Bombyx mori: one gene and its partners. The protein of the gene in region 1 purifies or fractionates together with the protein of each later gene. This does not show direct contact. Links are inferred from orthologs where the notes say so. Each region holds a gene or a part of one and is shown in the gene's direction. Other genes may lie near its edges.

Region 1 (4,338 bases):
ACCGGTGCTTGAGGTAGGTACCTAAAAGCACCGTTAATGGATCGGGCGAAACCGTAATTACGTATAACCTTCTAGTTTCTATCTAAAGTATTGGTGGCAGAGCATCTTGCAGTCATTGGAATTGTCGTGGCCTAGATAAGACGCTCTTACTAGTATCGAACGATGCAACCATGCCAGTGTTCCAATACCGCAGGCAGATAAACATTTTTGTAATGAAATACGTACATAACACGTTTTCGTGTATGCCTCCCAAAGTGATGCAATAAAATCGTGTGATAAAAAAAAATATTAATTTGCGAAAACCGCGACGGTGCGTTAATCGGCCAATTGTTGCTCTGTTAATTTTAATATTAGCAGCTTTTTTTTCTTTGTTTTTATTGCCCTTATAGGCAGACGAGCATACGGCCCACCTGTGAGTGGTTGGTTAACGTCGCCCGTGGACTTCAGCAATCCCAGGGGCAGAGCCAAGCCGCTGCTTACCGCTACCACTACAGCTTCCAATCTCATCTTCACTAGTACATTTCGTTTTACATTAAGTTCATTTTCATGTCTCATAGACACAGTTAATTTCTTGTTGAGTACGCACCAGAGAATATGTTCAGCAAATTGATGAACACAACCGTTTCAAAATTATTAATGAATCTTAGTTTAACAATGGTTTAATTAAAATTAATCATACCGATATCCAAACATGGGTGAGAGAATGCGTAGTATTGTTCCCAACGTTTGTAATAATAATACAAGCGTAGAAAATGAGTATCAGAGCTTCTGTATTAATAAACCGACTTGATATAAGGAAACTAACTTGTTTAGAACCAAGAATACAGAAAAGGTTTTTTTTTATTGCTTATATGGATGAACAAGCTCACAGTCCGCCTGGTGTTAAGTGGTTACTGGAGCCCATAGACATCTACAACGTAAATGCGCCACCCACCTCGAGATATAAGTTCTAAGTATAGTTACAACGGCTACCCCCACCCTTCGAACCGAAACGCATTACTGCTTCACGGCGGAAATAGGCGGGGTGGTGGTACCTACCCGTGCGGACTCCCAAGGTCCTACTACCAGTTTAAAATCGTTCAATCGTCTTGACATATGAGCCCGAACCGGCAGCAAGAAGTTGTTATTTCATTTATTTTTCGATGTACCTATCACTTATTTCTGGAATTTGTGTAGTTCCTTGAAATTCAGTGCATTTACAAATCTAATATTAGCGTAATATCTATGTTTACCAACGAACTGTAGACCATAGATAATAAATACACTTCACATTTAAGCGGTGGACTGATCACCATAGCAACCGTAGCGAAGCACTTCAAAACAATCACGCATTACTTTTAGCGTAATTCAAACATTATCAACATGGATTTAAGACTTATGGATAAATTACGTTTATTAAAAATCGACACGGATCTGCGTCCCCAGATAAAAATGAAACCGTTGAGTCGATATTATTTCGTGACGTCCACTAATCCGAACGAACAGTTTTTCGTGTTTGCCTCGACAGCGGCCTGGTTGATAAGGAAGTGTGGCAAGGATTTCGCTCAGCCCAACGAAGAGGACGATCCTAACACAATCATAGCTGCAGTAATTGATGTACTCAAAGAAAACGAAGTTAATGTAGATTTCTCTTCGCATAAACTAAAACAAGGATGGGGCGATCAAGTTTGTAGTATCCTGAATATTCTCGCAGATGAAGCATTGAAAAAAGAAAACTTTGAATGGCAAAAACCAGTTGTTGACATACCAGAATCAGAAGAGTCGGTTGATGACATTGATCAAGTTGAAGACGAAACCGAAATATTACTGGACAAAGTTGAAGATGAAATGCCCATTTATTCTGATGAATCTGAAGGAGATATTAATGCAGACGAAAAAGAACCAAGTAACATAGCCCAAAAGGTTCACGATTGGGAAGCGTGGAAGTTGGAATTGGAAAGGGTCGCTCCGGCTCTAAGATTGAAGATATCCGCCGATGGACGCGACTGGCGAGCGAGACATGCACAGATGAGGAGTTACAAAGAAGAGTTATTCGATAGATTTAAAACAACGGGAACCCAGCTGAATAAATTGCACAGTAGCATTTCATCGGCTATGGATAAGGTAACGGCCAGGGAGAATATATTGAATGAGCAATTCGAGCCTCTTGTCAAAGAATATGGTTCTCTACTCGACGAACTAAACAAAGTGTCAAATGAATATAAAGAGGCCAGTGTAGGTATCACTGAAAGGCAAGACATGTTGAACGAGCTTTCAACAAAGCTAGAGAATATTAAACAAAGAACCGAATCTAAAGGGTCCTCGATGAACGACAATTCTCCTCTAGTTACAGCAAAGAAAGCTGTCGCGACCTTGAAGAAAGATATACAGGAAATGGACTTTCAGATCACGGTGTTGCTGTGGCTTCTGACAACAAAGGAATCGAATGGCAACAGTTTACTTAATAACAAGGAATCTGGGATGATTGCCAACGAAGTGTACTAAATACAATCTATACTAATACATCAATCTAGTGGTTTTTACGGATGTTCCGTTATAACTACTGAACCGTGCATCCGATTGACTTGAAACTTGGTATCCATGTAGATAATACATGTACTTAATGGATAGGCTAACATTGATGTGTTGGACTCCCTACACCAGTTGCGGGGGCGTTAATGATGAGAATTTTTGTGGGGTTGAGAAATAATAATGTTTAAATGCCCAGCGAAGCGGAGGGGTTCAGCTAGTTAATTATTATTTTAGATTGATACAGTATTTGTACGAAGTTTTTGGTGTGTCGCTATTAATGTTGGCAAATCGAATCCAAGGTTTGCCACTAAGCAGTCTCAACAAAATAATTCTGTCAAAACGAAATGGTTTGTTATTTGTTGAATGCAATGTATGGTTTAATACGACTATTTTGCCCGACTTTATTGGACTACCGAACAATGCATTTATAAGACATGAAATGTATTAATGTCTTGTTTCAATAACTGTTTGTAGTTTTTTAAGATTTATTTTGTCTCATGTATGCAAACTCTTCTTTGTACTACTAGGCTACTTTGGTCATATTGTCAGTTAGGAACCTAACAATTGTCACAAACTGGTGGCGTTGTGGCTAAAGTAAATTGCAAAAGGCCTCATAGATGCCCTTGCTTTTACCAAATGAAGACATTCATTGGCCTACCTCACTTCAGCTCTTAGAGTTGCTGAAAATCGACGACCTCAGTTAAAAGAAGAACACGATCAAGAAGGATCAGAAAAAAAATTGTAAATTTTGATGACATTAATTTTTATATTGGTGGGCTATAAATAAATACCTATCAGCGTTTTATACGGTTTTCTCGAGTCGTAGACATAATTAAAATTAATTCTACGATTTAATATAATATGCTTTTCATAGTTTTTTTTTACACGGACGTCGGGCCACGACAACTGTAAAAGTATTCGAAACTCTTTTTCTTTTTCTCTACCTTATCCCACTAGGTGGGGTCGGCACAGCAAATTTTTCTCTTCCATTCTCTTCTATCAGCCGTCATCTCAACACTCACTCCTCTCTCTCTCTCTCTCTCTCTCTCATATCGTCATTCACACACTCCATCCATGACCTCTTCCCCCTCAAAGTATTCGAAGCGTCGGATATAATAATTCTAGGAGTGAGAGGCTATTTGGTTTCAGCGACATATTTGCAACTTTACAGGACTCATATTCAAAGTTTAAAATTTGGAAAAAATATCATACCAAAAAAACTTCTTTAGCTATTTGATTGGGGTAAACTTAATTGAATAAAAACATCGAAGTGTTGATGCTAATACCAAATAAAACGGACCTTTAGTTACATCGATAAATGTCGAGCCAAATAACCTGTCACCCCACGATACAATGAAGAAAAAAAAAACGCGATATTAAACTGTAAAAGATATATTAATTAATATCTGTTAGATTTTTGAATTGCGACTTAAATATTGTATTACAAAAAGTATTGTACAAGTAGTATTGACGTCATTTTATGACCATTCCTTTGCGGTTGAGGCTGTCCGTTTATGGAATGCGTTACCCTTAAGCGTTAAACTATCTTCCTCGCCGGAAATTTTCAAGTCCAGATTGAAATCGCACTACTTTGCTTCTATGATATAACTGTATAAGTTCCTACTTCTTTTGTATTTTATCTTGTATATTTTTAGTATTTATTTGTATTTAATCGTATGTAAGTTTATCTTATATGGTATTTATTTTTCACATGTGTATTTAAGTATATATTTTTATGTAAGTTTATTAAGATATAGCACCGTCCAGTTAACTTATTCCTCTCCCTGCAAGGTTGCCTGGAAGAGATCGCTTTCAGCGATAAGGCCG
Region 2 (4,247 bases), on another chromosome or scaffold:
TTGCAAATCGTGTTTACAGAACAATAGTTTATTTAGTTTACAAAACGAAACTACATAAACAATCAAGAAGTTAGTGGGTATACACTTTGATATTACTTTCACTCAGGCGCTTTGAGAAAATTGTATAGCTTCACACAATTTGGTCTTCAAGTAAACTTTAGACAGAACAGAGCATCAGGCGCCACGTCTGCATATTAAATTTACATTCAGTCTTGCCAATGTAGTGTAGATCTAAGGAAAAGCATATCGAGCCACAATTTTAAACGATTAATTAAGACATAAATAAGTCTTGTTAAAATATTTATTTTGTAATAAATTGATTATTTTGATGCAATTTAAAAGAATTATTGATAAAATTATAGACCTACAAATTGTACACAGACAATAAATAAACATTAGTAATTGTGCTGATTTGTGCTTACGTAGGATAATCTATGATACGGTAAGTCTGCTTTTTTTTTTCAATATGAAAATTAAATGAGCTTCTTGACATGATATGGCGTATGTTGAGTTCAAATTAAAATTATGTGGATTTTTTTTCGAAAGTGGGAAAGGTGTATTGTAAATTACCAACTTGGGATATGCGTACCTCTGGGGTGTTCCGAATCCCATTGGGGGTACGTGAAAATTATATTGGTAATGGCCGTAAATACTGAGAAGTTTAAGTAGTTAACTTAAAAAAATTAAAAATATGATGATAATGTTGTTTTGTCTACAACATATAGTTTTAAATGAACTTTATTCTAATAACTATTTAATAAAAACGACCGATAAACCAGAAATGAGACATTTTTTAAGTATGGAGTTATCAGGATTTAATCGAAGAGAAATGAGACACATTAGGTATGGAGTTATCAAGGTTGGAGAACTCAAAAAAAGTTTAAGGGGTATGGGAATGAAAAATGTTTGGAAAGCACTGCTTTAGATCACCGTGGCGGGCACCGTGGATTTTCATAGCAGCAAAAATCAATCCTTCTTTTTGAAAGTACGTAATAAAAACAAGATCGCTGTTGCGCAAATTACTTTAGATTGCCAATTTGAAAGCTCCGTAAATCCTTGTATTTTACTGAGTGTTCATTTAATGCCATTCCATCCCATCTCATTGGTTTTAAATATGTTTTATTCTTTTTCACTTTTCATTCAAACGATATGGGTTTTGCCTGGAATTTTTTACAATTGTCATTAAAGCTATCTTGAAAATGGATACCGGCTGTATGGGCATATATCCCGTTCTTTGACCAACAAAACATTTTTGGGTTCTAAGCCGTTTCCATGGGAACGTACAGTGTACACAAAATTAAAAATACCACGACTCCTGACAACCTTTATGAAACCTATGTTTCTTGTTAAATTATTGTAATCAACAATTTTTTGTGTCGTTAAGAATAGGTATATGGTTATTTGATATTTATTGCTTCATGTTTACTTTGTAATATGTGCAATGGAAAAAGAAATAGATCCACAGATCATAAAAGAAACTCAAACATCTCTCGGAAAATATGTGAAGAGGCCGCCTTTAAGTGAAAAATTACTGAAGAAGCCTCCCTTTAGATTTCTACATGATATTATTACTAGCGTGAGTGCATATATTTTTCAAAGCACTTTAAAAACACACTTAGAAAATTCAAAATAGCAATGACTTCAAAAATGCACTTTTCCAGTGACGTATGATAAGATTCAGCGCCCTGAGCCGATAAGGTTTAACGCCTTAATAAAATAAACGAAAAAAATATTTTTTTTAATACGAAATTAAATCGTGCTTTATTGTTTGTGTGTAAAGAATAATCATAAAGAATGAAAATATGAAAATGGCCAAGTAAAGAAAAAGCAAAACTGAGCGCGTAATGATGCGGTTTGCGTCTATCCTAACAGGAGCCTTTTTAGTTTTAGGGTATCTACCCTAGAACCCTAGAGGCGTATTTACGCTGTGTAATTCCACTGACGAGACCTGTTACAGAAAAATGACCAATCTGAACAGAAATTAAATAAAGCAACACCATATCTATCTATACTTTATTTTTTTATATTAAAAAGCTGAAGAGTTTGTTTGTTTGGTTGAACTCGCTAATCTCAGGAACGACTGGTCCGATTTGAAAATTTCTTTCAGTGTATATAGGCTATTTAACATCACACTAAGACCAATACGAGCGGAGCACTAATAAATAATGTTTCAAAATCGGGTTTATTTCCTTTTGGGAGCCTCCGCTGCGTGCGCTGCGGAAACGGTTTAAGTGTCGCTAAAATAAAATATGACAAAAAAATCCCCTTTAAAAGTTTTAAAAAAAACTCCGCGACGGCATATATTGGCTCACTAAAACCTTTTTTAAACTAACCAAATTTGTTCTAAAATAAAGCATTATTTGTGACGGTGTTTTTATAAAGATGATATTACTTAATACTTATCCAAAGAAATACGTTATTCATTACAAGCATTTAATTTAAAAGAAATTGGCCCTTTACATAATTTGATTTCAATGAGTATCCTAGAAGATATCGCAGTTTTAAAATAACATTAGCAAAATGCATAAGAAAAATAATGATCAAGCACGTAATAATGGTGTAGGTAGAAGGCGCCGCCGCCGCGCCGGTGCGCGGCGACATAAAATAAGAACAAAAAAGAAGTACCCAAATCATTTCAAGATAGGCTGAAAATTGTAGATTTTTTCGATTTCTCCAGGATCCCATCATCAGATCCTGATCCTGATGATTACTTACAGGACCATTCGGGAAGTCTAGCGTTTCGAACAAAAAAAAAGAATTATCAGAATCAGTTCAAGCATTCTCGAGATATCGGTGAACAACATAGATAAAAATATGGTGGTCGAATTGATAACCTCCTCTTTTGAAGTCGGTTAAAAAGCGTGACTTTGGTCCCTTAAATAGCTCCTTAACATTCTTTATTAAATAATATTTACACCTTCTATGAAGTCCCGGGTAAAATTTAGCGTTATCCCAAAGTTAATTAAAGTCTAAGTAAAATAGTCTGATATTACTTACAAAATGGCTTAAGTAGCTAACATGTCCTGGTAACAAATTTTTTATTACCATTGTATTCACTGCCTGATCTGAGCTGATGTTAATCTGTTACCAAAGTCCATAGACATCGAGACCTATGTAAGTCTAAGTTTTTACTAATCATTATTTTCTCTAATGCTTTTTATTATTAATTCTAGGTTTTAAAAACAACTGGATTTTTCGAAGGTTTATTTGAAAAGGACGAGTTAACTTCTGAGAATGTTAAAGATAGAGAGAGTAAAATACAGTTTTTAAATAAAGTCATTTCAGTTATACGTAAGTTGATTTTAGATGTATAGATGGATGAACGTGCTCACAGCTCGCCTGGGGTTCTAATATCGGAGTCCATAGACTTCAAAAAGTGAATACCTACCTTTACTAGGGTCTCTATTTCAATTGGATAGTAGTTCTGCAAATTAGTTTTATGTAAAATTTTAAAGCTAAAATAGGTGACCGAGCTCACTGCATACCCGTGGTTATCGGAGTTCATACACATCAACAACGGAAATGGCAGCACCCACCTTGAGACATGAGTTATAAATCTTAGTTCTATAAGTTCCATAGCACGATGGCTACTCTACTCTGTCTTAATGTATTAGACAGGCAATATTAAGTTATGAGAATATTGTAAGGTTCAAATAACCGTATCAGATACCGTTTTTTTTCTATCTATTAATGTAATAACTACCGCTGTCTTGCCCATATTCTTTTCGAAACTTTCGCAGCTACTATAATATAATATATATTAGATTAATACGTTGTGTTCCCGAACTCACTCACATATTAACACAATTAAGTATGTATTTAAAAAAACTTACAAGTATTCTTAATTTAGTAAATTTATATACAGATTATACAACAGGAAAACCTATCAATATTAAGCCTTCAAAGATAGTAGCAGGTCAAGAGGCAGAGAAAACGAATGAACTCTTACAATGTTTGGCACAAGCTCTAGACAACAATTTATCGTCAGTAGAAGCAGTGAAAAAATATAAAGAAAATGCATCACAAAATACTGTGCTTATAAAAGAAACGAGATCTAAAGAATCGATTCCTAAGAAAAACAGTACAAAAAACTTAATTTCTAAGAGCAGCGATAATTTATCGAACCTAAAAAACGAAGCAAAAGAAAAATCTTCATCTAAAAAAGAAAAAGTTGAGAACCAACCCAAGCATGAAAATATTGCTAAGAATGAGCCGCAAAACAAAACGAAACAAGCAAAAGGGAATCC
Region 3 (4,397 bases), on another chromosome or scaffold:
TAACTGCTTATATAGGTACATTAAATAATCATTAAATAGTATTTATATATAATTAAATCACATAATCTTCACTTCAATTTTATGAACAAAGCCTTGTTATTCTTGTTATCATAAACTTTTTTTTAGGGGATTTTATGATCTGGTAACTGAGACTTTTAAGTCATGTCTTATTTTAATTTATATTCATATTTTTATGAAAAATGATATTATGGAGTGAAATGAAATGAAAATGATTAATTTGAGACATTAATCAACTGGGATGAAATCAAATGAAATGAAATGAGATGATATGGGATGAAATATAATCTCAGTAAAATGGTGGTCATTTACTAAGATTTTTTCAGTGGACCTTTTTCGAGGATCCCGAGAAGTTACGTCCGAGCGGCTTTGTTTCATTTTCCCACATTTGTGCACTTTCACAGATATTACACAGTTAATATGCCACCATTAGTACACATTTAAACCTGAAGAAACACTAAATAGACAAAATAAAACAAATCACACAACTTCACTCCTCGCGTTCCCGGCAAAAAATCATCATAAACTTTAAAGGAACAAATTACGCAAATTGTAAACTATTTTATTTATTTAAGGATTACCAACAGGGTTTACAGTAAGACATAAAATAGCATTGACATGTATAGAGCAATAATAATTGATAGCTGCAACTCTAATTAGAGGCAATCACAGCATGCATTACATGAACAGATTTAACAATAATAATAATAATAATAAAACAAAAGAAAGACAACATGGACAGCAATACCCAAGTATTCAGACCAAGGCTGAGGTCAGTTCAACAACAACTTTTTATAATTTTGTTCCTGAATATTGGAAGGGAATCGCCAAATATGTCAAGGTTTTCAGCTTTACTGACTAGATTATTATAAAAGTTAGTTAGACGAGGAGCAGGTGAGTGCAGTAAATTGGTTCTGCTAAAGCGGGTGCTGAAAAGAGCACCGCTCATAACTTTTTCGTGATTTGGACAATTTTTTACGTGATAAAAAGTTTTCTTCCCAGGAGGCAGTACAAAATGCTTTCACTCAGTTTGTAGAATCTAGATCACCAGGGTTCTATAGCAAAAGCATAAATGACCTTCCTATTAGATGGTAGCAATGTATAGATACATAATAATGGTAGATATTTTAATTAAATAATTATTAAAAAAAAAAGGTTTTTAAATTCTTCAGTACAAATCGGCAATTTCATACTTTAACGCTTAATATATTAATTTAACATATTCAATCATTATTTCAAATCTGTCACAAAGTGAAATACGTTTTTAAAATACTGTTTTCTTTACAATACCTGTCTATAAAAAGACTAATCCTTTTCGTACAAAATACTCATTAATCTAGAACTGTTTTGATAAAACGACTCCATATTATATTGTTTTAACCAACGTCGATACGTTGCTAAGACAACAAAAGCAGTACAACTAAAACAAACAATACCTACATTAATAGTAAAGATTATAAAAATTACATTACATTTAAAAAAAATAGCAACTAGAAGATTGATTTGCTATTGGTATTCTTTTAGATTTTAGTTACAAATCATAAAGAAGGATACAAATACAATAATTTATTTAATGTACTACTACAACTATAGTGAAATTACTACTACAGTGTCTAGTTACTGATTATTATTATTTTATTGATTCACTCAGTTATGGCAGAAGAATTGCAAAAAGTTCACCTATTTTACGATGACATCAATAAAATAAAGGTTCTTGAGGAGAATGTTTTGAAAGATACTGAAGATTTAAGGGACACCTGTAAGGAGTACGAAAATAGTAGGTATCTGAGTTCAACTGTAAACATTGGATACGTTCTATGTATACACAAGTTTTTATTAAACTTAGTTATTGTTGTCGTTATCAATTAATGTTTCAGTTTATTGTAAGATCGTACGAGCTGGTACGATTACTCGGATTGTTGGATTTAATAACCGAAAATCCTACGATCTCGTGATATTTATGTACTAGTTATTAGTAATATAACTGTGCCATTTTCGGCATTGCAGAGGTGCAAAATTTTGAAAAAATTATAAGCTCGCTGTTAGATCTAATTAAAGATCTCGGCGACAATGTTGAAAATAAGAAAATGGCTGCAATAGGAGCAATGAACTTATTAAAATCAATAGCCAAAGATAAGGAATCCGAACAGCTGAAATTGCAAGTAAGATTGGTTCTTTATTATCATAATTTATAGATAGCCATTTAATTAAACGAAAATATAAATTTAATAACTAGGTATGAAATGTTATATAATTTTGTTGGAAAATGTCTTCAATAATTTAATTTCGTGCTCAGGCACTCAAACTTTACCTTTTACTCACTTTACTTTTTATAAACTTTTTTACTCAAGATCTTACATTTTAGTTCATTTTACCGTATATTATAAGACTACTTTAATTTTGGAAGCCATCTTCTATCCTTAAAAAACCCGTTTTTTAACCTTTTCTTATTGCTCACAAGGAGCAGAGAAACCACCCCACTCCAAGTAAGCCTATTCGTCACAGCGAGCAACATGGATATACTGTGACTACCCCATTGTGTTCTTTTTTTTCTTTGCATATCAACATACATACATGGACATATTTCCATTACTTCAACATAGCAGAGTTTGCTCTCCGAGAACTGTGTATCTTCTGCTTTGCAGTAGTCACACAGTATGCTGTACAGACGTTTCTCCCTTCATCTCATAATATCAGCGGGCGGGATTAGCAGCAGAGCCCAGTCCGTACATTTCCCTTTTCTACGTGTTGTGTCCCGTGGGGGTTTTCACTTGAACCGGGACACGCACGGGAACTCGAATCCTTTAAGTAGGGCTATGGCGTGAAGTTTTTCTAATATCGTTTGCCAGAATGATTTACATTTAATAGCCGCGAATGCGTTCGGTTCATGTTTTTAATGTTCTAGATAGCTCACTGATTTAATTAAAGGCATCTCAGCGCTGCATTTAGTCAATCTACTTGTGATTTTATTGCTTTTATACACGATAGAGCGCTGTGACTTAGGTGTCTTCGCAGCTTCACTAAGATGGACGGGCTTTGTCAGAACGGATGGAATCTAATAACAGCTCCTCGAACAACTCCAAAAGACGTTTAATAGGTCATAGAGATCGGCTCTGCGAGTGTATTTATCACATAGGATCGGAATCACGACCTGCTGAGAAAAATCGAAAGCAACTCATTGCCTTTATGAGCTTATTGTCACTCTTCAACTAATTTCATCCAGAAATTAGAATCAAAAATATTGAAACTTATGTTACGTACTCTTTTCTTAGGGTCGTTAAAAAGATAATGAGAGGTAATTATTTTATTCACTAGTGACGAGTCATATGACAAACTGACAGTTGTGACCGTTGACCGGTTAATTTAAATAAAGAATATTTCTTCTGTTACTGTGATGTAGCTTTTTTTTATCATCGCTCTTATTGATAACTTTAATATTGTACGTAAGTTTGATGAATACAAGAAATACAACACTTTCAGGCGGAAATTAACGACAAGACTTCATTATTGGAACAAATAGACAGCGAATACGATACACTTCAAATCCTTGAAGCAACTCAGATGGAAACAATTGAATATCTTACACAATTACGTTAATTTTAATAAATAAATAAATAAAAGTGATTTTTAGTAATATATTTAGTATATATTATTATCCTTTTCAATCGGTTGTTTAAGTTCTAATAATATTATTACCTCTACTTATTTGTTTAGAATTGATACCATTAGTTAGGTATTATAGCAATGGATTTTCAGTTATAGAACGCGTTCTCAAACCATCATTAACAAAATATCATTGGGCTTGAAAATAACGTAATGTGTTATCTTTAAATCACCGCTTAAGTTTACGAGCCCTTAGCTTATATGTTAAATGTAGTCAGACTTCAGTCGATAGTTTGTAATCATTTTAATTTTCCTGTTCATCAACACACATTAAATAATAAATCCGTAGTATTGTGATTTTACAAGTTACGGAATGCAACGCTTAATGATTAAATTAAGTGGCGTTCATGCCTCTCTGCGCCGCCATTATCCTATCACTGAAGTAAACAATCTGGTGGGATCAGGAAGAATATATTTTAAAAAGGAAGTTTTAGGCTTAGAAAAATAGATATCCCAAGTGTATAAACCTGAAAGGGGACTATGACGAAAAATAAAGAAAATAGAATTTAATAAAAGTTAATTGCGTCATACTTATTATCACTCTATTTAACACCCCTAGTTTAGTCTCAAATCTCAATTGTGTAGTTTAACTGTCCTACCCTTCAAACCCGAACGCATTACTATTTCGCAGCAGAAATGGGCAGAGTGGAGGTAAATGCTTAAGTGAACTGACTAGAAACCCTACCGTTAGCGAAACTAATTCAGTAGCAAACTTA
Region 4 (4,564 bases), on another chromosome or scaffold:
TAATTTTATTGAGTCGGCGCAAACACAAACGTCGACAATATTGATGTCTTTAAATAACGTGAAACTTTTCAAAGGGGCTTATCCGAGACGTAGTTTATACTTTTTTAGGAAGCGAATACAAAATTGTCCGTACAAGCTCAGTATCGATGTCGTCGAATACAGTCGTTTTAACATTTCTTAAATTTGATACTGCAAATGCCACCTTAGTTACTGCTACCTTAATGGAAAAACCATTTAGTTCCAGTTTTTCAGGGAGCTTCTAGAAAGGTCCCATGGTGTAATGGTTAGCACTCTGGACTCTGAATCCAGCGATCCGAGTTCAAGTCTCGGTGGGACCTACTATTTTTAGATTTCAAGTACAATTTTAATTTTTTTTAATCCTAAAAATAGCATCAAATGTATTTTACACATCGACTTATTATTTATAATACGCCTGTAGTACGCTCCGAGCAATTTCTCTTAAAGCTCTGTATATGCTAAGGGTTAATTAATCTATTTCGGGCAAGTCTATTTCTGCGGTAAAACTGTCATGCAATCCACTTTGAAGAATGGGAAAACCATTATACAATAGAATTGAGAATTCGACCTAACGTGTCAAGGAGGGTGGCGGCTTCCACGTTGTAATGTTTTCAGTAACCACTTAACATCAAGTTAGCCGTGAGCTAGGTCACTCCTCAATGAAATAAAATAACATAATTAACATTGTTTTTATAGTTTAATAACGCGTTTTTATTGTAATTACATAAATTCTAACATTTCGAATTCTTTAGTTTTCGTGGTCACGGACGACGATTAAGCAAAAGTAGTTTTAATTATGTCTACAACTCGGGAATACAGAAGAAAATACTAAACACATAGTAATGTCTTGTGTTGAACTCAGATACGAGTTGAAAGTTAATCAACTAATCATCGGGATAAGAAAAACCGGAGTCAAATCGACATTGAATAAATTTCAATGTTTTATTGGTGTCTTGATATCATTGTGAATGTCAGTAAGGATTCAGCTCGATAGCAGAGAGATGACAAGACAGCAAAAAGATAAATATGAAGAATAGATCTGCACTCATTATTACTACATCAAAAATATCAAGGAAGAAAAATATTATTTAAAGCCATACAGATGCCATAATTAAACCAAATTCGGAAAAATACTTAGGATAGATTTCTTGGTCAAGGGAGCTAGAAAAGCTGACTGGATATTCTCAACAAATACATGCATGCGGTGGAATGTCTCTCTAAACAACATTGGAGTATTCCTGCTGTCGCACACACGCATCGCGATTTATTGAAATTTATGTGATAAATTTGAAGGTTCCTCTGTCTATCTTCTGCCAGTGCTTGGATTTAATACGTCATGTGGTATAATTGTCATAGATAATAGATTTTTTACTGGTGGTAGGACCACTTTTGAGTCCGCGCGGATAGGTACCACCGTCTTGCCTATTTCTGCCGTGAAGCAGTGGTGCGTTTCGATTTGAAGGGTGGGGCAGCCGTCGTAACTATACTGAGAATTTAGAACTTGTATGTCAAGGTGGGTGACGCGTCTACGTTGTAGATGTCTATGGGCTCCAGTAACCACTTAACACCAGGTGGGCTGTGACCTAGTCCACCCATCTGAGCAATAAAAAAAAAAAGATTATCAATCTATAAAATGAAGTTTGTCATGCCAATGTCGTCTTGGTAACGCTGGGTATAAACGACAAACAAATACAATACACGATTGGGATTTCCAAAAAGAAACTTGAAATGAGTTTTTCTACATAATTATACGAGTAAAGCAAAAGAATACAGTGAAGTGAAAATACAACATAGCATCTACCTTTCATAAGCTACAACGTATTGAAAAATCATCATGCAACCTAATAAATTGAAGATACTGATGATAGGTCCCTCTGAAGTAAGTTTCCATAATAATACAAAATGATCTTAAAACAAATACCTATAAATTAAATTATAGCAATTAATTAGGTTCCCGCGGACACTTTTTAGCTTCACATACAATTAAAGTAGAGCTTTGATTATATTATCAATTAGGCAGATTAATATTATTTTAACATTCAAAAGTCTAAGTCTTGTTTTAGGAATAGTGAAATTACAATTTATTTCCGATTTCATTTTTATAGAGTGGCAAAACTCAAATAGCTAATTTTTTATCGAATTCTATTAATATTGATGAAGCGGGAAACCCGAAGCCTACTCAAGGATTAAGAATAGTGGAATTCGAACAGTCAAATATAAACTATACCGGAAGAAACGTAGATATAGAATTGTGGGACTGTAGTGGTGATCATAGGTAAGTGTTGAATATTTTTTTGTTAACAATATCAAATGAATACCTAAATTATAACTTTACAGTAACTTTAAAAACTTAACTAAAACTCTGGTGTCAGGCGCATTTTTAGTAGGTACACTTTTCTATTATTATTGAAACGAATTCCATAGAGCACAAATGGGAATCGAACTCGGAACCTGTAACTCAGTAATCAGGGCCACTCACCACTACGCCACTAGGATGTCAAGCTTTGGTTTGCCCACCGATTGCCGAGGAAGGTTTTTTCAGCTTATGTATGTGTCTCGTTCGTTGGAATGATTTGCAACCTTTGACCATTTGATAAATTTAATTATATGAGGTGTGACGTGATTTATTGCAATAAATTCATTGTATTAAAGATAGAACGCGCCAGAATTTATAATCTAGCCAGGCAGGTCCTAACCGAATTATATAAGCCTACATACAAATTTATTTTATTCGTAACTAAATAGCTAAAAGTGTGAAATAAAATACATTATTGAATGAAACAAACACTCGACTACTTTAAAATACACAATATAGGAAATTTAATTTAAAGTTTAGTAAAAGTATTGTAGGCAAAGCAAGGGGATAAAACATACGTGTGTGTTATTTAAGCACTCCCGTCTGTAATAAATACATTTATTAACATTCCAGTTATGTATTATGGGTTAACGCTCGCAGTAATGTAGAAAAATAAATTGTATCCCTCGAGGAAAGCACTTTTTTGTGGATGAAAGGTGCTCCATTTCATTGTCTGTACTCCCGACAACGTGTAGGTATTACAAAATTCAGTGTATCGGTGTAGTCAAGACTGTCTTCATTAGTCCAGACTTGAAAATACAAGAAATTCACGTTCGAATTTATTATACTATTAAAGCATGGATTATATTACGTTCATTTTATGGTGATATTATAGTTTGTGTTTTCTTTTTATGTGTTTGTAGTGCAACCGAATTCTTACTACGTGAAGTTTTTAACCGATTGCATTTTAAGCCGGAACATAACGTTGTTTGTTTGTTTTTGTTATGGTACTAACTCAATTGATTTGACGTGATTCTCAAACTGTAAATAAGATTCAGACCACTTTCCACCAGACAACACCAGAAAATATAAAAGTTACTTCAAATATGAAACTAAACGAAGATCTTTGATCACCTCATTTAATTTTGTCAGCTAGGTATGCACCTTTAATAATACCATTTTCGATATCCACGCATTAATCAGTGACTAAGACTAATGCAATGATAATGCAATTTAAAATTACACATTTTTTTTATAATCATTACAAACCATATACCTACCTAATCACGTAGATACCTACGCTCAATGACGCACCAAAAAACATCGGATGAGTCAAACATGAGTTGTTATAGCGAAGCAGAATTAAATAACTGTTTTTTAATCTTGTGTACTGTAATTAAACTCTCACGACAATTGTTTTGATTTAATACTAAAATTAATCGTTCCTCGTAGCATAGTCTCCCTCCACGTCTCTACCTAGATTGTATGGACGACTCACGTTTCAGATTCGAATCATGCTGGCCTGCTTTAAGATTTGGAGTTAAAGGAGTAATTTTAGTTTGTTCATCTAACACATCAGAAGTCGCTCCTAGAGAATTAGAATTGCTATATAACTACTTTGTATCTCAACCAAAGCTATCCACTAAACAGTGTGTGGTGTTTTACAACTGCGTAGATGATCAATACGATGTTGGTCATCTTAATTTATGTAAGTAGTCATCATTCGTTGTTAGGTAAATGATACATAGAAATTGTTGTATTTCAGACACCTATATTGAAAAATTTCATTTTCAGCTTCGACATTTTCAAGAATATCTCAAGTCGCTGTGAATTTGAGAACAGAACGTGAACGTTTGAAAACTGAATTTTCTAATTACATAACCTCTGTACTTCAGTCGGTATAAAGTATAATATTATCCGGTGACGTCATTCTTATGTATAGAATTTGGTGAAAAATAAATAAACACATACTTACGTATATCACTGTGACATTCATTTTCATTCCACTGAAAAACATGGAAAAATCGAAGTTCTGGGCATAGTTAATAAGGTAGTCAATGTACCAAATACAAGTTCAATCAAAGTTAAAAAAAGTACATTTAAACATGAAATTTGAGATCATAAGTTAATCATACAAGGCTTAAGTATATTTAATTACGTAAAGCCAAAATGCCGCAACGATCTTTAGAGGATCTTCTGGAATGAAAAACACAGACGGTAGATATGTTTCAGAGACTCGTTATTAGCGGT
Region 5 (4,269 bases), on another chromosome or scaffold:
TTAAACAAAAAACGAGTAATTTCGAAAGAGAACAAACATGTTTTATATAAGAACAATCGAAAATGAATATTTACGAGTCATTAAGGATGAAAAAATAAAAAAAATTGCATTAGAGGGGCTAACTTGTAGGTATATTTTTAAATATATTTTTTAAATAAATATATGCAGAACAAACAATTATTAATAGTGAACAATCATGAACAAATGATGAACAAACGAATTAATAGAAAATAAGAATAAAATAGGAAAAAAAAATTTTTTTGAGGGGCTAACTTCATTCACCTTGTTATACATTTTCTCTGAGACCATAGTGTTTTATTTTTGTACAATTTTTCCTTGTTAGGCAAGGCAAGGGGATCTAAGCCCATACAGCCTTGTCTGTTCTATATATTTTCTGAAATAATTTTTCAAAAAAGTCGAAGCCAAGTCCTTTTTAATTTCTTCCTCAAATAAAAATTTCAATAAGGCCGAAGCCAAGTCTTATCATATTTTCCAATCATGACGCTACTCTTCGTAGACCTTTTTTGTATACTAGTGTTGAGCTACAGCTCACATTTCTTAATAAGGATGTACCCACTAACATTTTCCAGAATCCAGTGTTGAAATATTAGTGTTGAAATAGAATTAATACAACCACTGCTCTGCATTAACGCCGTAATGCGAATGTTCTACATTAGTATTGAATTTATGATGACTTTTAATAACTGACATGAAATTTATTATTTAAATTGCACAGTTATACATTGAAAGTCGACTCTATTGTGTTAATGGGATCAATTACTATTTTCTAGTACCATATCACTATATATTTTTTAATTGAATTAAAAAAAAACTTTTTAAATTGTCTAATCTTCTAACTATCTAATCCTGGCTAAATTATACTTTGAGAAATGTCCCTGGCTTCATGTATTCGTCTGATTTTATGAATAAGTTTTTAAGGGTAATTACTTATGGCTTTCGGGAACAGCTACCATAAGTTTTACACAATGTATATTTTTGAAAACGTCTCTGCCCTCTTATTTTTAAAATGTTCAACTTTATTAATTAATTTTTAGTAAATATTTCAGAGTTCATTACGGATTGGTAGATTTGCTTTCGGTTACCTTAAAAAAACCTAGATCATAGGTATCATAGATATCCTTTAAATACTGTACAGATGTTCAAAAAGATCTTAGTCACGCTCAACTTTTGTTTATTGTTTGTAGGTTGCTAGGTAACAAGTACAATCTACATTTTAGGTAAACAAGTTTTTATGCTGGTTATAAATTAAACCAAAATGAAACTGAAGTATTCTAAAACGTTTTTAGAAGCCCAGGTAAATAGTTTAAAATTTAAATTAAGTTATTTTAACTTAAGCGCCGAGTTATGGAGTAATGGTTATTGTTTCGTCACTTATTGAGCTATGGACTGGTGTAAAGTGTATGGATGTAAGAAGTCAGCGTTTTCTAAATATATGTATTTTTATTGCACAAGTGGCTGAACAAGTTTTCAGTCTACGTGATTTAGGTGGTTACCAGACCCATTTACATTACAGTGTGAATGCTGCCATCCACTTGTTATGCCGAAGAACCGCTAATTCTTGCACCAAATGTTTCCTTACGTTTGTCCCTAGGGGCGCTGTGCCAACTGCATACAAATTTAAGTTAACTTTTACGCTATCGTGAACGTTCAAAAACTCGCACTTAGTTCGAGTTGTTAGTGGAGATGGCCAAATCCAGTATAGAGCGCACCCAGTTGTGGTATCTATCGTAAATAAATGGCAAGGAGTGTATGATTAGAACCGAATGCGGTTCTTCAATTTACAAAATCCTCGACAGGACTCATTTCAATATAATTTGTTCACAGAATGTCGAGAATCCAATAGCAGATATATGCTGGTCTCCTAACAGTGTTAAATTGGCGGTGGCCACGTGTGAGCGTTTAATATTGGTTTTTGACCGTGATGGCGTACGCAGAGACAAGTTTTCCACGAAGCCTGCTGATCCGGCAGCTGGAAAAAAGTCTTACGTTATCACTGGTAAAACGACTTGTACTTACTATTAATAATACTTTGTCATTTACTATTAATGTCATATAAGTTATTTCAGTATTTTCGGTTATTTATGTAGTAGCATTTTGAGTCCAGAACATAAATGTATAATTTGAATTAGATATCAAGTAAAATAGGTATTTCACGATTTTGGATTTTCACGTTGGTTATTAGCATAAATAAATTGGTGGTTAATACGCCTTGGTGGTATGTGTATTTTGCGGAGATCCCCAAAAAAATCCCCGGCGCAGAAATCAGAATCGATGCTCGACGATTACATTGGAAAGAGCACCTACAGGTGTCGTGCTTTTCTTAACTTTTTTCTCTATTGAGTAAAAATCAACTAGTGATTAATGTTGAGATATGAGTTCTAAGGTCTCAGTATAATTACAACGGCTGCCCCACCCTTCAAACCAAAACGAATTATTGCTTCACGGCATAAATGAGTAGGAGTGGTACCTACCCGTGCGGACTCACAAGAGGTCCTACCACCAGTAATTACCCAAATAATATTTTTGCGGGTTTCATTTTTATTACACGATGTTATTCCTTCACCGCGGAAGTCATTCGTGAACATTTGTTAAGTACGTATTTCATTGACAAATTGGTAGCCGCCTGCGGGATTCGAACATCGTTGCATCGCTACATATGAATGCACTGGACGTCTTATCCTTTAGGCTACGATGACTTCAAAATTGATGTGCAATAAAGTATAATGTCTCCCGCTCTCTATAATGTAGTTGAACTAAAAGAAATTTACAAATGTCAAATTTTTGCCTTTATAAATCGTACTGACTTTTCAGTGTTAAGAAAATATAATAAATATAGAAAACAATGATACACGAATAGCAAATCTGCTTTTTAATTAATTAGTTAAATTTAATCATATTAAATTTTGTATAGGAATATCGTTCAGCGAAAATTCCGAACTGTTAGGAGTTGCACAGAGCGATAACATGGTGTTTGTTTATCGAGTGGGAGCCGACTGGAGTGGAAAGAAAGTGATTTGTAACAAGTTTCCACTTACCGGAGTCCCTGTGCAGCTACTGCGCGCTGAGAACGGATTTATCACTGGTACAAGCGATGGGAAAATTAGGTGATTTTGGAAGCAGTTCATTTTTGCATTTTCATCAACGCAGCGTTAAGTTTCTACACGCAGAAGGAAATTAAATTTTATTATTTGCATATGTTAACGTCGATCTGTGTATGTTCCCTATAGACATCAAAGCGGTTGGACCGATTTCGTTGAATTTTTTAGGAAATTTTGAGATTGGCCTAACGAGGAATCTTGTGAAGTTTCGTAGCTAACAAATCAAACCTACATCAAAGATCGGTTAGCAAAACGGGCAGTGTTAGACTAGTTAATGATGAAACGTAAACCTTTTTGGGAAGCCAACTATAACTCTTGTATCGAGATAGGAAAACAATGAGTTTTGAATTTTTTGTAGTCGTAAGTGTGAATTAAGTAGCGGTCAAAAACGGGTATTAGTATCAACAGTGGCTGAGTAAAACTGGCTAAGTGGAAAATAATGTTAAGGAAATTTTGTCGTAAATCGAAATAATTACTTAGTCTAGCCATTTTTTTTTTTTTTTTTTTGTCAGGAGGAAATCGCCGGTCTTCCGCCCTTCACTGGGGATGAAGGGCGGGGCATGTCGGAGTCGAACCGACTAAAACCTCCTGTCTCTCAACAACCAACGTCCAAACCTCGCATGAGACAAAACTCATGAAAAGGCAAAGGGGGGAAAGTGAAGCGTTTAGTGCGGAGCAAATCTCTCCCATCACCCTCCCCCTCGGGACGCCGGACTGGCGGTCGTCGGCGCCACGACCACCAGCCCTCTCGGTTGGCAGGCTATCCGAAGCCCGCCTAGATGGCGCCGGTTAGAATGGTCTATCCTACGGAATACCCCGCTGGGTCAGAACCAGCGTGGGTTGAGGATAGCCGGCCTTCCATCACCCGGATGCTCATGCATAAAACGCGTGCAGAGCAGCTTGCACGTCGTCTTCTTAGGCCCCCTTCGCCGGTCCCCAGGCCGACATGTGAGGGGACCCGAAACACTTAGAGGGCCAGGGCTTGGGCGATATCCGCCTCCCTGGCCCCCGCTCGACGGCGGCGGGCCTGTGCGTCTCTCACGCGCCCCGCCGCCTCCTTCTGCGAGATGGTGCACTCGCAGAAGTCGAGCATCGCCTTCCACGACTCGTCGTCACCGAGCATCGATGCCACAACACTCGGCAACGACAA
Region 6 (4,614 bases), on another chromosome or scaffold:
TACTGCTTCACGGCAGAAATAGGCAGGGTGGTGGTACCCACCCGCGCGGACTCACAAGGGGTCCTACTACCAGTAAAAAACCAGTCCGTCGCACACACAACGACACGTCAACAAACAACATGACACGTAATTTATGTATATTAAGGTAATATATAGTGGGTGGCCGCATTCGCATCGTTAAATCGATGATTTACGGTAATCAGTTAACGCTTGGTGGTTCAATACGCTTTGCAATACAGAGTTTTAACTAAGATAGCAATTGTAACATGAACGCTGTAAGGTAAACGAAATTGCCGGCCGTGTATTAACAAATGGTAATGGTAATTCAGATAACATGAACCCCATGAAGACAAATTCTCAAAATGTTGTGATAGATCAGATTCCTTTATAAAGATAAGTCGTTCAGTGAAAATTTAAGTGCGTAAATTGTAATATACATTGGCTGTATTGATACTTTCACTGCGGTATGGTTATATTGCACAGCACTCTTAATAGACGGCTACTTTATTTTTTTATTGCTTACGTGAGTGAACGAGCTCACGGCTCACCTGATGCTAAGTGGTTACCGGAGCTCATAGATATCTACAACGTAAATGCCGTCACCCACCTTGAGATAAAAGTTCTAAGATCTCAGTACAGTTACAACGGCAACCCCACCCTTCAAACCGAAACGCATTACTGCTTCACGGCAAAAATAGGCAGCGTGGTGGTACCTACCTGTGCGCACTACAAGAAGTCCTCCCACTAATGATACTCTAATCAGATTTTTTGCTATAGCAATAAAACACACAATTTTTCATTAGTGCAACTTCAGACTTGTCCATGACGAGTTAGTTACTCGTTGCCATAGCAACAACCGCCAAACACTCCGTCAGTTTGCATCTATTTATTTCAAATTAATTCAGACTCGACCTACATTTTTGTTGGTGGATACTAATTAAGGAGGCGTTAACGTTAGTGTGATTATGGATTTTTCCGATGGCAGTGGGAGTATACGGTCCGACACGACGCGGCCAGTTTCCAGAAGGGGTTATCGCGAGCACACGAATAACGGCTCTGCTCTTTCACGGTAATCAATGTTTTAGTTTAGTTCTGGAATATTCCAATGATTTCAATTATATCGGTCTTCTCCAAGATTTTAAAACAAACGAGTCAAAATTGTCAGCATAAAAATTCACGGTTTAAGTAAAAAGAAAAATAAATAATCTTGAATAAAAAACTATTTCAGTCGATAAAAGCAAAAATATTATTTTTCAATTCTTTATTTTTTCATTATATTTTATTTATTATCTTTAAACTTATTTAACTTTAACTTTAGTCACAATCTGATTTTAAAGAATTAATTGTAGTCGTGTTGAGCCTAATAGTTGAACCTAGTTTCCTTTTCTAAGACACAGCTACGGACACGTTGTCGTAGAGACCCTATTAGCTATAAAGGATCATGCGATCAATCGTCTCCGCGTTGTGCAAAACAAATAAAATTCCTCACCGATCTATCGCCTGATAGAGGTCTGAGAATCATGTAAAGGTTTGGCGCTAATAATAATAATCATTTATTTCAGATCATATTTTAGCCCATATATAAAAATGTAGTTTGGAAATACATAATAATAATATATTTATCCTGCCACATGTAGGCGATTCCATGCTAAGAAGATTGGAAAATCCATCTCCATTCTGTTCGCAATGAGTTGCAGGTAACCGTTGGAGCCGCCACGCACCCGCCGCATCAGGGATGCTGCTCGTTTCCTAAGTATTGCGGCAAACCCATCAACACCGGCGTCTGTAAACATCCTCGACGAGCTACAGAAACGCGGCAGCCCCATCAGTGCCCTGAACCCATTGTTATATTGGACGCCAGTTGCGTATACTACCCATAGGCTGCAGGTGTAAATAAATAATAATAAGCTAAAGTTTATGTAAGGAAATTGGGACCAGATTCAGCGAAGATCACCTAAAAGACACAGGAAAAAATGTCAAAACATACAACAGCATAGTAAATGTATATCAAATTAATGAAAGTGGTAATTTATTATAATACATCACGTATGTCCGTTCCCGGGTCCAAATAAGTTTGTTTTTAGAAGCGGCAGTATGCGTCCCACATCTGCATATCGAGGCAGTACCGCCTCCAGACTGACGACCGGCTTTGGTCCTGCTCCTCCAACAGCAGGCCGACAACAAACTGCCGTTACCGGTTTTTCCATGGTTTGTTTTAAATTAATTAACCAATCCAAAAATAAAATACCTTTTTATTATTATTGCCCTTGTAGGCAGACGAGCATACGGCCCACCTGATGGTGAGTGGTTACCGTCGCCCATGGACTTCAGGAATGCCAGGGGCAGAGCTAAGCCGCTGCCTACCGTTGGGTACTCTCCACAAGCCTCGTTTGAAGAAGGACAAGTCATAGCGCTCGAGAAACACTGTGGAGGGGAGCTCATTCCGAAGCCGTTAGAATCATATTTTTCATAATTCACGTGTATATTTTAAAAAGAAATCAATTAAATGTGCATTATTAAGGATGACTCATAAACTATTGGTCAAATCTTGATAAAATTTAAATTTTGATGGTAAATTTAAAAAACAATCAAGTTCTTTTCACCTTTTTTGAAGACGATTAAAAAAACCAAATTAAGCAGGGAAACTAAACAAAGAAATCTTGCTGGTGTGCGAATGTTAGCTTATAGAATACAGAAAGACATAATATTATATACCTCGATACATATACATAATTATGTACAAATGATTCATAGCCCTTCTCATCTTATCTCATCCCTTGAATTTCACAATGAAGGAGACCACCACTCCTCAAAGTGGACCTTCGCGACCTTATAATTTAATTAAAGTTTATTAATTTCCCCGGAGTCTTTGAGTCTTCGTTATTTACAATATTAAGACGATCATACCTTCATCTTAAGACAAAATCTCTATTTACTATTTTGCGAATCGTAGACAAGGAACGAGATCTCGGTCTAGCTGGTGTAAAATAGTTAATTATGACAGCGAATTCCGCCGCCCAACTTATGCTGTGAGGTCGAATACTAAAAGATATGTTTAATAAAAATAACTAAGTCTCGACTTACTTACTTATCAATATATATTTATTTCATTAAATACTTTAATACTTTCTGAAATAGATTGATCGACCAATTACTCAACAAGGTATCTCAGGATTACGAACTGGTACTGGTCGCGGTTTTCGAACCAGACAGCTACAGGATAAACGATATTGGGAAGAATTGATGCAAGTGAAAATTAGAGAAATGAAAGCTGAAATAGCGAGGTTGAGTGAACAAGCTGAGGCAGGCGAAAGAGAGAAGTCCGCGAAAAAGCACTATGAGAAGCGGGTCAGGGAATTGGCACAAGAACTAACCGGTAAGATTTATATTGTAAATATTTGTTTATGAACAGCTCCTTTTAAGTTAATTTAGACCAAATAGCGGAGGAGGAAGTGACGGTACCTGTCAGCGACGCACTCCACCAAGCTACAAAACGGGATCGATGGAGAGAGCTGGTTGACGGAATCGGACGGAGTCACGATCCTCAGCAGTGAGGGACCGATCGAAAAGAGAGAGAGAGCAGCTATAGATTTTTCAAAAATAATAAATAAAGTGATATAAATTATACTAAGAATCTGACTTTAAATCATGTAACTAATGGAAAAAAAAAGGTACCAAGGATTTTTACGTTATGACTAAAAGGTAATTACTAAAAAAAAATGTTTTTGTTTTCCTGTTAGAAAATGAGTTTTCTTTTTAAGGCTTTCACATCTTAACTACTCAATTGACCATCATAAAATGTTGCATGTATGTTTTCAGGGGTAATCAAAACGAGATACGATTTCTTTCCTTCAGAATAAGTAGTATTTCCAAGGAATTTTTTTCTAAAATAATTAGGATTGAAGAACCGTGTAATGGCAGGAGTAGTAGTAAATTTTATCAATATTGTAGATTTACAGGGACGTCTCGCAGACTATAATACTGCAATTCGTATACTAAACGGAGAAGCGACAAAGCAATCTGTTGAGGAACAAACGAGAGAATTGGAGGCGACAAATCAGAAGATGCAAGATGAAATAGAACAAGTATTCATGGAGAAACGAAGGAAAGAAAATCAGTTACGACAGATTCGAGAGCAAATTGAAAAGGTACATACATAATTTGATTTGAATAAGGCAGGAAAGCCGTATGTTTCTCTGTAATTTTATCCGGAAACAGCTTTTTTTTTTCTTTTTTTCTTAGCTGTATGGACGAGCTCACAGCCCACCTGATGTTAAGTGGTTACTGGAGCCCATAGACATCTACAACGTAAATGCGCCACACACCTTGAGATATAGTTCTAAGGTCTCAGTATAGTCACAACGGCTGCCCCACCCTTCAAACCGAAACGTATTACTGCTTCACGGCAGAAACAGGCGGGGCGGTGGTACCTACCCGTGCGGACTCACAAGAGGTCCTACCACCAGTAATTACGCAAATTATAATTTTGCGGGTTTCATTTTTATTACACGATGTTATTCCTTCACCGTGGAAGTCAATCGTGAACATTTGTTGAGTACGTATTTCATTAGAAAAATTGGTACCCGCCTGCGGGATTCGAACTCCGGTGCATCG
Region 7 (3,817 bases), on another chromosome or scaffold:
TTCTAGGTATAATTGGCTTACACTTATTTTCTGTAAACAAATCCGTTCAAAGACAATGCAGCTCTGTTTTCCTTCGAATTGAATAGTAAAAGGTAAGGATAAGGCATTTTAGGTTTATATTATTACATTTTAATTCAGGTAGAAGCAATATGGCCGTGCGATTTAACAGCCCTCGAGTGGCTGGCGGGCGAGTCACCGCCAGATGTCGCCTTGCAGTACTACAGACGAGCTGCGCGACTAGAGCCGACTAATGTAATTATTATACAGTCAATAAAATGTACAAGTACAACAAACAGTAATAAACAAATAATAAATCATGTTAAAGTAAGTGTCAAGTAAGTACAAAAGCGATAGTAAAATTGATATTATAGCAATAACTTTTGCTCGTGGTCGAACGCTATCGTGACGTCTGTATTATGCGAGAATTTTGAAGTTATGTATACGTAACGTCAGTTGGGCAGGAATTGGCAGTTAGTACGCTTTTATGGGTTGAAAAGAATGCTGGTGTTATCGAAGCTATTCAAACTTCAACATGACGGGTAAAATTGGAAGCGTCAACCAGAACGGGGGAGTGGGGTACTTATAAATACTGCAGCACCTACTTAGCAACACAAGGGCAATTGCTTTCTTTTTTATTTATTTATTGCTTAGATGGGTGGACGAGCTCACAGCCCACCTGGTGTTAAGTGGTTACATAGACATCTACAACGTAAATGCGCAACTCACCTTGAGATATAAGTTCTAAGGTCTCAGTATAGTTACAACGGCTGCCCCACGCTTCAAACCGAAACGCATTACTGCTTCACGGCAGAAATAAGCAGGGTGGTGGTACCTACCCGTGCGGACTCACAAGCGGTCCTACCAGTAATTACGCAAATTATAATTTTGCGGGTTTGATTTTTACTACACAATCTTATTCCTTCACCGTGGAAGTCAATCGTGAGTATTTGTTAAGTACGTATTTCGTTAGAAAAATTGGTACCCGCCTGCGGGCTTCGAACACCGGTGCATCGCTACATCCGAATGCACCGGTCGTCTTATCCTTTAGGCTACGACGATATAAAATGTAACGAACGATACAGGGGTAAATAGACGACGCTAGAGGAACCCGGCCCACCTATAATTAGTCATAATAATTAAAACTCGAACAGCCACAATGGGGCTTACTGATGGGCGGCTGCCTCCGAGCCACGGGCCGGTACCAGGAAGCACTCAGCCTGTATAAGAAAATGAATACCCGTTTCCCCGACAATGTACAATGTGAGTTAACTTGTTATCTTGAAAAGTCGATTTAAATAACAAAGAGAAAAATGTAAATCAGTTCAGAGTAATGATGTTGGCAAAAGTTGACAATGAAAATAAGCGAACACTCTAAAGGTCATTTTAATGTGTATTTATGCGAAATATAGTCGAATAAATAAATAAATCAGGTGAAAGACCTTACTGAAACCGCATTTAACGAGTGTGTGCGTCAGGCCTCGGTTCGCAAACTATGGAAAACATCTGTCAAGGCTTTAATGAGCAAGAATTCCACATGACCACGACTGCTCTGCCAAGAGCAACCGATTATGATGAGTCGAATAATATAGTAACTATATTTCCGCAGAAATTATTCCCTTCTCTTTAAGTTGATGGAGAAGATACTTGAAATATTTTCAGGTCTGAAATTAATAGTGAAATTGTGCGGAGATCAAGGTTTATCTGAGACGAGCACGTGGACGCGAGAGTTACAGCGTGCGCAGGCCAGGCTCAAGCAGCAGGAAAGAGGTTCGTCAAACATTACATCAGGCAAACGTTTACTTTAAAAAAATGGCCCTCACAAGCAGTATGAACAACATTCATGTTCCTACCCAGTCTTGTAACTCCAATCAAAAAGACCTGTCTTTCTCAATTTATACATTTCTTTCCCTATTTACCAACAGATCGTTTCATTTGTATAACCATATTTGTGTATTATTTACTCAAATAAAATAAAGTTTCAATTGTAATTGAAAATGACGGGAGGTAAAATATTGAAATGTTCAAATTTTTTATGTACTTTAAATAATTTAAATTGGATAGATTAGTAAGCAAGCTCACGGCTAACTGACTATACTACTAGTACTAGTAGTAGACGGCTAACCTAGAGTAATTGTTTATACATACCTATCATCTAAGGAACCATGCACTCTAGTTTGTCATATGACCCTTATTCTATTGCCATTGGAATTTCAACCTTATAGTGAACGTTAAGATAAGGGCGCCGATCACGAATAAAAATGCATCAATAATTTTGTAGTAAGTAAGACACATTAATACCAGTCGATGTTTTTAGCATCTGTGATATCTGCGGGGAGTGGATCGTCCAGAGCGAGTCTGTCACCAGTCGACTTAAGAGGTGAGTAAGCTTTATTCTACACCAATATAAAATCAAAATAAAGTTAACTTTACAGACGAAGAGTGAAATGCGGCGGGCGGTTTTATCGCTAAGAGTATAAACTCTTCTAATTACTTTTAAACAGTACTTAAAGGTTGTCGGTCAAAATGTCACCGACAAAATCAAGATCTGTCTTCGAATTCTAGATGGTGTAGTGTGGTATAACTCGAAATCAATAATCATAGTGTTGTTGCAAGGTTTTTCAGAATTCGCTTTTTCACGGATTCGTGTTTCGATATCCTTGTTACCCTAATTTTTAAAATAAAATTCACCCTAAAAATAGTGGCATAACATTTACACATCCATTGGAATCACTAAAGATGTTGAGTGGGTGCGAGTGTTGATTATCAAGATTTGTACGTGTTCATTGCGCGTTTTATAAATTTCACTAGTAAAACCATACATATTGTCGCACCCATGTATACTGAATAAGAACACATAAAACATAAACTTCTAGAAAATTATTTCATTTCTTTTATGTTTTTACAAAATTATGGGGTCCCAGCCGTTAAATAACCATATTTTACAACAAACATACGTAATCATTATTAAATGTATACCAGTGTGGTGTTTTTAAATTTTTTCTTAATTGATTTTCCATCATGCTGTCCTTATTATGGTTATGAAAACCTACGAGGGCAAGTGTATATAAAACAATCAAAAATAACTTAACTTCCATAATGAAACATAATTGAACTTATAATACAGGAAAACATCAAGAAGTGATAAATGTATATGATATACAACTTGTCACTATATAGCTTAAATATTCAGTGTATTAGATCAGGGGTAGGCAACGCGGCCCCCCTGGGCGACATGGCGCTGGCGCCCCCGATCGATTTTTAATGCGCCCTCGCTGGACTAATGTAAATGTATGACAGCCAGAGCGATTTATTTACTCTTTTCAAACGGCGATATACAGCAAGTAGTCAGTTGAGTTTAGGATTGTGCATAGATTAGCAGTTTGCTAACCTTGAGCGTATCTAATAACACGCACGTATTTTTTGTTAGTGTGTGATCGTATTTCGAATAGACCACGCGTAGACCGTGCATTTAAAACTATCAAGTAATCCGAAATAATTATTTTCTTTCAATACCGAACAAAGCTTAATTACTTACATTTAGATAATTGTTTAAGGACCGGGAACTCTAAATATATCCCCAATTATAAGAAATTAGCTGAAAATATGGACACCCAAGTTGCACACTGAATTATATGTATCATTATGTATGACACCAACAAAATAAAGTTATAAAAAATCTGTTTTTTTAATGCCTATTGATACCTGTTGATTATCTGTAAAACATGCGCCCTCGGTGATTTTCAAATTTAGTATTGCGCCCTTAAGGACAAACAGGTTAACGACCCCTGTATTCGATAATAGATAGGGTCACTATGCT

Evidence for each region.
Region 2: the proteins of intraflagellar transport protein 57 homolog (region 1) and TRAF3-interacting protein 1 purify together in Homo sapiens (affinity purification with mass spectrometry; 3 studies listed by BioGRID and IntAct, counting the BioPlex papers as one, with this or other methods). This does not show direct contact. The link is inferred for Bombyx mori from reciprocal best matches to the Homo sapiens genes IFT57 and TRAF3IP1.
Region 3: the proteins of intraflagellar transport protein 57 homolog (region 1) and intraflagellar transport protein 20 homolog purify together in Homo sapiens (affinity purification with mass spectrometry; 3 studies listed by BioGRID and IntAct, counting the BioPlex papers as one, with this or other methods). This does not show direct contact. The link is inferred for Bombyx mori from reciprocal best matches to the Homo sapiens genes IFT57 and IFT20.
Region 4: the proteins of intraflagellar transport protein 57 homolog (region 1) and intraflagellar transport protein 22 homolog purify together in Homo sapiens (affinity purification with mass spectrometry; 3 studies listed by BioGRID and IntAct, counting the BioPlex papers as one, with this or other methods). This does not show direct contact. The link is inferred for Bombyx mori from reciprocal best matches to the Homo sapiens genes IFT57 and IFT22.
Region 5: the proteins of intraflagellar transport protein 57 homolog (region 1) and intraflagellar transport protein 172 homolog purify together in Homo sapiens (affinity purification with mass spectrometry; 3 studies listed by BioGRID and IntAct, counting the BioPlex papers as one, with this or other methods). This does not show direct contact. The link is inferred for Bombyx mori from reciprocal best matches to the Homo sapiens genes IFT57 and IFT172.
Region 6: the proteins of intraflagellar transport protein 57 homolog (region 1) and intraflagellar transport protein 74 homolog purify together in Homo sapiens (affinity purification with mass spectrometry; 3 studies listed by BioGRID and IntAct, counting the BioPlex papers as one, with this or other methods). This does not show direct contact. The link is inferred for Bombyx mori from reciprocal best matches to the Homo sapiens genes IFT57 and IFT74.
Region 7: the proteins of intraflagellar transport protein 57 homolog (region 1) and intraflagellar transport protein 88 homolog purify together in Homo sapiens (affinity purification with mass spectrometry; 3 studies listed by BioGRID and IntAct, counting the BioPlex papers as one, with this or other methods). This does not show direct contact. The link is inferred for Bombyx mori from reciprocal best matches to the Homo sapiens genes IFT57 and IFT88.

What each region holds. Positions count from the first base shown.
Region 1 is NC_085120.1:9,285,735-9,290,072, forward strand, and holds the start of intraflagellar transport protein 57 homolog, read left to right. Parts: upstream 1-1,290; 5' UTR 1,291-1,362; coding exon 1,363-2,484; 3' UTR 2,485-4,338. UniProt on the Homo sapiens protein: Required for the formation of cilia. Plays an indirect role in sonic hedgehog signaling, cilia being required for all activity of the hedgehog pathway.
Region 2 is NC_085131.1:5,592,523-5,596,769, reverse strand, and holds the start of TRAF3-interacting protein 1, read left to right. Parts: upstream 1-1,258; 5' UTR 1,259-1,441; coding exon 1,442-1,576; intron 1,577-3,173; coding exon 3,174-3,291; intron 3,292-3,865; coding exon 3,866-4,247.
Region 3 is NC_085116.1:6,783,100-6,787,496, reverse strand, and holds intraflagellar transport protein 20 homolog, read left to right. Parts: upstream 1-1,367; 5' UTR 1,368-1,465; exon of another isoform or gene 1,466-1,669; 5' UTR 1,670-1,671; coding exon 1,672-1,795; intron 1,796-2,025; coding exon 2,026-2,180; intron 2,181-3,498; coding exon 3,499-3,615; 3' UTR 3,616-3,654; downstream 3,655-4,397. UniProt on the Homo sapiens protein: Part of intraflagellar transport (IFT) particles involved in ciliary process assembly. May play a role in the trafficking of ciliary membrane proteins from the Golgi complex to the cilium.
Region 4 is NC_085114.1:9,665,830-9,670,393, reverse strand, and holds intraflagellar transport protein 22 homolog, read left to right. Parts: upstream 1-1,679; 5' UTR 1,680-1,852; coding exon 1,853-1,897; intron 1,898-2,123; coding exon 2,124-2,293; intron 2,294-3,819; coding exon 3,820-4,022; intron 4,023-4,108; coding exon 4,109-4,218; 3' UTR 4,219-4,292; downstream 4,293-4,564. UniProt on the Homo sapiens protein: Small GTPase-like component of the intraflagellar transport (IFT) complex B.
Region 5 is NC_085117.1:13,504,265-13,508,533, reverse strand, and holds the start of intraflagellar transport protein 172 homolog, read left to right. Parts: upstream 1-1,207; 5' UTR 1,208-1,276; coding exon 1,277-1,315; intron 1,316-1,845; coding exon 1,846-2,017; intron 2,018-2,932; coding exon 2,933-3,125; intron 3,126-4,269. UniProt on the Homo sapiens protein: Required for the maintenance and formation of cilia. Plays an indirect role in hedgehog (Hh) signaling, cilia being required for all activity of the hedgehog pathway.
Region 6 is NC_085111.1:14,776,696-14,781,309, reverse strand, and holds the start of intraflagellar transport protein 74 homolog, read left to right. Parts: upstream 1-1,701; 5' UTR 1,702-1,889; intron 1,890-2,084; 5' UTR 2,085-2,094; coding exon 2,095-2,208; intron 2,209-3,138; coding exon 3,139-3,376; intron 3,377-3,951; coding exon 3,952-4,148; intron 4,149-4,614. UniProt on the Homo sapiens protein: Component of the intraflagellar transport (IFT) complex B: together with IFT81, forms a tubulin-binding module that specifically mediates transport of tubulin within the cilium. Binds beta-tubulin via its basic region. Required for ciliogenesis.
Region 7 is NC_085119.1:6,965,355-6,969,171, forward strand, and holds part of intraflagellar transport protein 88 homolog, read left to right. Parts: intron 1-138; coding exon 139-252; intron 253-1,151; coding exon 1,152-1,260; intron 1,261-1,659; coding exon 1,660-1,767; intron 1,768-2,314; coding exon 2,315-2,377; intron 2,378-3,817. UniProt on the Homo sapiens protein: Positively regulates primary cilium biogenesis. Also involved in autophagy since it is required for trafficking of ATG16L and the expansion of the autophagic compartment.